2 linked regions of the Xenopus tropicalis genome follow. The protein of the gene in region 2 purifies or fractionates together with the protein of the main gene of each other region. This does not show direct contact. Links are inferred from orthologs where the notes say so. Each region holds a gene or a part of one and is shown on either strand. Other genes may lie near its edges.

Region 1 (4,311 bases), on a different chromosome or scaffold from region 2:
TCTCTGTCCCTCACACACACACACACACACACACACACACACACACACACACACATATCCAGGTATCCCTTACCCACAATTCCCTGCTCTCTGTCCCACACACACACACACACACACACACACACACACACACATATCCAGGTATCCTTACCCACAATTCCCTGCTCTCTGTCCCTCACACACACACACACACACACATATCCAGGTATCCCTTACCCACAATTCCCTGCTCTCTGTCCCTCACACACACACACACACACACACACACACACACACATATCCAGGTATCCCTTACCCACAATTCCCTGCTCTCTGTCCCTCACACACACACACACACACACATATCCAGGTATCCCTTACCCACAATTCCCTGCTCTCTGTCCCTCACACACACACACACACACACACATATCCAGGTATCCCTTACCCACAATTCCCTGCTCTCTGTCCCACACACACACACACACACACACACACACACACATCCAGGTATCCCTTACCCACAATTCCCTGCTCTCTGTCCCACACACACACACACACACACACACACACACACACACACACACATATCCAGGTATCCCTTACCCACAATTCCCTGCTCTCTGTCCCTCACACACACACACACACACACACATATCCAGGTATCCCTTACCCACAATTCCCTGCTCTCTGTCCCTCACACACACACACACACACACACACACACACACACACACACACACACATATCCAGGTATCCCTTACCCACAATTCCCTGCTCTCTGTCCCTCACACACACACACACACACACATATCCAGGTATCCCTTACCCACAATTCCCTGCTCTCTGTCCCTCACACACACACACACACACACATATCCAGGTATCCCTTACCCACAATTCCCTGCTCTCTGTCCCACACACACACACACACACACACACACACACAACACATCCAGGTATCCCTTACCCACAATTCCCTGCTCTCTGTCCCACACACACACACACACACACACACACACATATCCAGGTATCCCTTACCCACAATTCCCTGCTCTCTGTCCCTCACACACACACACACACATATCCAGGTATCCCTTACCCACAATTCCCTGCTCTCTGTCCCACACACACACACACACACACACACACACACACACACACATATCCAGGTATCCCTTACCCACAATTCCCTGCTCTCTGTCCCACACACACACACACACACACACACAACCACACACATATCCAGGTATCCCTTACCCACAATTCCCTGCTCTCTGTCCCTCACACACACACACACACACACACACACACACACACACATATCCAGGTATCCCTTACCCACAATTCCCTGCTCTCTGTCCCACACACACACACACACACACACACACACACACACACATATCCAGGTATCCCTTACCCACAATTCCCTGCTCTCTGTCCCACACACACACACACACACACACACACACACACACACACACACACACACATATCCAGGTATCCCTTACCCACAATTCCCTGCTCTCTGTCCCTCACACACACACACACACACACACACACATATCCAGGTATCCCTTACCCACAATTCCCTGCTCTCTGTCCCTCACACACACACACACACACACACATATCCAGGTATCCCTTACCCACAATTCCCTGCTCTCTGTCCCTCACACACACACACACACACACACACACACACACACACACATATCCAGGTATCCTTACCCACAATTCCCTGCTCTCTGTCCCTCACACACACACACACACACACATATCCAGGTATCCCTTACCCACAATTCCCTGCTCTCTGTCCCTCACACACACACACACACACACATATCCAGGTATCCCTTACCCACAATTCCCTGCTCTCTGTCCCACACACACACACACACACACACACACACACACACACACACATCCAGGTATCCCTTACCCACAATTCCCTGCTCTCTGTCCCACACACACACACACACACACACACACACACATATCCAGGTATCCCTTACCCACAATTCCCTGCTCTCTGTCCCTCACACACACACACACACATATCCAGGTATCCCTTACCCACAATTCCCTGCTCTCTGTCCCACACACACACACACACACACACACACACACACACACACATATCCAGGTATCCCTTACCCACAATTCCCTGCTCTCTGTCCCACACACACACACACACACACACACACACCACACACACACATATCCAGGTATCCCTTACCCACAATTCCCTGCTCTCTGTCCCTCACACACACACACACACACACACACACACACACACACACACACACACACACACACATATCCAGGTATCCCTTACCCACAATTCCCTGCTCTCTGTCCCACACACACACACACACACACACACACACACACACACACACATATCCAGGTATCCCTTACCCACAATTCCCTGCTCTCTGTCCCACACACACACACACACACACACACACACACACACATATCCAGGTATCCCTTACCCACAATTCCCTGCTCTCTGTCCCTCACACACACACACACACACACACACATATCCAGGTATCCCTTACCCACAATTCCCTGCTCTCTGTCCCTCACACACACACACACACACACACACACACACACACACACATATCCAGGTATCCCTTACCCACAATTCCCTGCTCTCTGTCCCTCACACACACACACACACACACACACACACACACACACAGTAGCTGCTGGGGAGGGATACTGGGAGTTGTAGTTGAATACGGACCAGGCCGCACTACAAGTGACGGGAGTCCCAGCCAGTGACAGAGCAGAAGGAGCCGGAGGGCCCCCCCCCCAGCAGACACACGGCCCGGGGGCCACTCACCTTCCCCGATCTTCTCCAGCTTCTCGTACTTCTGCATGATAGCACCGGCAGGCCGCCCTCACTGTTCCACTCAGTACGCATGCGTACAGACCCGCCCCGGAAGGAGACTTCAGCCAATCCAATCTGTGCTACTGGATTCCCCTCTTACTGAGCGCTGTGCGGCAGGGTTAGCCCCGCCCAGTCTGTCACGGAGAAGCGGTTACCATGGAGACAGTAGGAATGGGACGCTTTGTGGGGGCGGGGAGGCGGCCATGTTGGTACACCCATCTATGCAGCTTTGTCCCCTGCAGTAGCGCTGTCCTTTCCTTATAAAGCTGCTAATAGTGTTTGAGAGAGAAATAGGGGTGGGAGTAGGGCACTGAGCTATGGAATCCTGGGGTTATTGGCCTCACAATGCGCCTACAGAGGGATATGGCGTGTTGCTTTGTGTGTATCAGGCTGAGGGGTAGAGACCGGTAACTACCATACAGCAGGGTACAGACCTCTCCCTCAGCTCTGTGACATCACACACGGGGTGCCGGAGCTCCATGACGTCACACACGGGGTGCCGGTGCTCCATGACGTCACACACGGGGTGTCAGAGCGCCATGACATCACACACAGGGTGCCAGTGCTCAATGACATCACACACAGGGTGCCAGAGCTCAATGACATCACACACAGGGTGCCAGAGCTCAATGACATCACCCACAGGGTGCCGGTGCTCCATGACATCACACACGGGGTGCCGGTGCTCCATGACATCACACACAGGGTGCCGGTGCTCGATGACATCACACACGGGGTGCCGGTGCTCCATGACATCACACACAGGGTGCCAGAGCTCAATGACATCACCCAGAGGGTGCCAGTGCTCCATGACATCACACACAGGGTGCCAGTGCTCTATGACATCACACACAGGGTGCCAGTGCTCGATGACATCACACACGGGGTGCCGGTGCTCCATGACATCACACACGGGGTGCCAGGGCTCAATGACATCACCCACAGGGTGCCAGTGCTCGATGACATCACACACGGGGTGCCGGTGCTCCATGACATCACACACAGGGTGCCAGTGCCCTATGACATCACACACAGGGTGCCAGTGCTCGATGACATCACACACGGGGTGCCGGTGCTCCATGACATCACACACGGGGTGCCAGGGCTCAATGACATCACCCACAGGTGCCAGTGCTCGATGACATCACACACGGGGTGCCGGTGCTCCATGACATCACACACAGGGTGCCAGTGCCCTATGACATCACACACAGGGTGCCAGTGCTCGATGACATCACACACGGGGTGCCGGTGCTCCATGACATCACACACGGGGTGCCAGGGCTCAATGACATCACCCACAGGGTGCCAGTGCTCGATGACATCACACACAGGGTGCCGGTGCTCCATGACATCACACACGGGGTGCCAGTGCCCTATGACATCACACACAGGGTGCCAGAGCTCCGTGATGTTTTTACAGGTAT
Region 2 (2,355 bases):
CCCGAGGAATGTAATCATGGTGATCTATGGCCTTCACCGCCTACAGTTTAATACATCTGAGCCGACCAGTTTACAGGTTCGGAACAATGGTCTTCACCCCCGTCCAGACCAATAAGCCCATGAGAAACTGAGGTTTGAGCCCAAATAAGGTCACACTGTACTTCTTGACCACAAGGCCCAACCCTATGATAACTAATAATAAGGGGAACATAACACAACAGGATGGCTATGGGAGGTCATCAAGAAGGGCATCTTAGATACCATAACGGAATCTAGGAGGGACCTATGTAATGTTTCTGTTAAACAAAGGGAACATAAGAAATGAAAGCACACTGACGACTTAACACTCAACAGTTGACAGACATATTGTATATTACTGGTAGCGGCACTACTGGAAAGACAGGTTGATATTGGCTAGTGCTTATATATATTTCTCATTTCAACAATAAAGGAACAATGGCAGCTGACAAAGAGGAAAGGCAATACGCTGAATGAGCAAAGAAAATTGTAAAGAATATACATAAGGATAACATAAACCCCATTTCTGAGTAGGGTGTGCTATAGGTCTTAAATAAACAGCAAATGACTAGGGCACAATGAAGAGAACATTCCATCTCTGTATAATCCTTGTATAAGCTAAGTCCAATTTGTAGCCTCTATGTATAACTACAACCCTGCTGGGCCTGGGGGGGCCTCTTGAAAGGCAGCTCTTCTTTCTCTGGTCTTCACACATCTCTACCTTCGGGCCCTAAGTGAAGCTCAATAAACATCTTTGAGGGGCTTGTTCCATTAACCAGTCGCCTGTGAACCTAACAAGGACGTTTTTAAAGCGTTCTTCTGTAGTGGACTCAAGACATTGTTCCAGAACAAAGCTTGAAGCCGCCCCAACTTCACAGCTTTGTGATATGGATCATTGACTTCCACCATTGCTTGTCCTATTCTTCCTGGTCGCTTTCATTGCCAGGAAAAGGTTTATTGCTCCCAAATGACTGAGGTGCATCTACTGGAGGACTGGGAGTGAGAAGTGGGAGGGAGGGCAAACCACCCAGTTAGAATACCAGCTACTGTAAAAAGCCCAGGAGATCATTAAAAGATGGCTTCATAAAAGTCCATCACATTTGGCAGGACAATGAGGATCCCACCAGCCTTTATAAACCAAGGTCAGGAGATGCCAGAAGGCCTGTGTTTGATGTGATCTTTCTTTTTTTTTTACTTAGCCTTTGTTTTGTGCATACTGTGGGATTCATTACGTGCCCCCAAACCACACATTCCAGAGCAAAAATGTTCAACTAAAAGTCTCAGCTTACACTGTTCAACATCTAATATCTAGGGCATCAAATACATATTGACCACAAGCTTCACCCTAACTGACCTTCAAGCTATGCTTTTTGTTTATGTAGAAAAGCAAATGGCCAGTCTCCCCAATTTTCATTGGCTTTCAGACTGAGCCCCCCCATCCCCTCAGCCACAGCTCAAGGCCTTTCCTGCTGAGCCACTGCATTGGAATGTCAGCATATCAAGGGTCCAACAAAACTTCAGCACCATTTTACAAAACCACTAAGCAAAGGAGTTCAAGCCAAGCAACAATCTCCTATAATTGGTCTGTGTGACTTACCGGGTCACATTTGATGACCTGTGATAGAAAAAGCGTGAGGCGCTGAGTGGAGAAGACACTGTCGGCGTTTCCCAAATTTAGTCCCTGAACGGCTGCTGCAACACTGCCGGCGGCGATCATGGAGGGTGGATTGGAGATAAACTTTATATCTGCAAGAGAGGAATTTGAGAAGAACGTATTAGATTGAGAGCAAGAGCATTATCAGCACTTTCTTACAATATAAATATATATATATATATATAGAGTGGGAAGAGCCAAGTGCTTACTCATCAGAGCAACTTTAAAGTTCAATCAAACTTGGGTAAGGTGAGGGGGATTGATTACAAAGCACAAGCATCAGAGAGTCTTTCATAACAGTAACGTTTCAGCTTTATTAACCTTCTTCAGACCCCCGAAGGCTGGTGAAATCCGTCTCTTAAGTGGTGTTGTACGCCCTGACTCCCTGAACCTTTCATTACCCGGAGCAGGCTTGGCGTGCCAGAAATGAAAAGAACTGGTCACAGTGCCTCCCTCCCCTCCCCTGCCTGTGCCTCTGCCGCTCCGGGTACAGTAGAAGTCATTACGCTTTTCATGTAACACAATCGACTCATTTTCGCTTCCGTGCACAAAAGAATTCCATTTGCGCGGCGTTTCAAAGTGACCTGGTAATGCTCTCTAAACTCCTGGACCCATTTCAAGGTTAGGAGCCGAGGGATTGTCTCCGGGGTTCCAAAGCGACAGCGAGCAGTAAGTAATAAATA

What was found. The genes of interacting proteins can lie anywhere in the genome.
Region 1: the proteins of ccnd1 (region 2) and cdk5 purify together in Homo sapiens (co-immunoprecipitation; 4 studies listed by BioGRID and IntAct, counting the BioPlex papers as one, with this or other methods). This does not show direct contact. The link is inferred for Xenopus tropicalis from reciprocal best matches to the Homo sapiens genes CCND1 and CDK5.

The regions. Positions count from the first base shown.
Region 1 is NC_030682.2:1,366,986-1,371,296, forward strand, and holds the start of cdk5 (cyclin-dependent-like kinase 5), read right to left. Parts: upstream 2,904-4,311; 5' UTR 2,874-2,903; coding exon 2,837-2,873; intron 1-2,836. UniProt on the Homo sapiens protein: Proline-directed serine/threonine-protein kinase essential for neuronal cell cycle arrest and differentiation and may be involved in apoptotic cell death in neuronal diseases by triggering abortive cell cycle re-entry. Interacts with D1 and D3-type G1 cyclins.
Region 2 is NC_030680.2:14,450,340-14,452,694, reverse strand, and holds part of ccnd1 (G1/S-specific cyclin-D1), read right to left. Parts: intron 1,765-2,355; coding exon 1,616-1,764; intron 1-1,615. UniProt on the Homo sapiens protein: Regulatory component of the cyclin D1-CDK4 (DC) complex that phosphorylates and inhibits members of the retinoblastoma (RB) protein family including RB1 and regulates the cell-cycle during G(1)/S transition.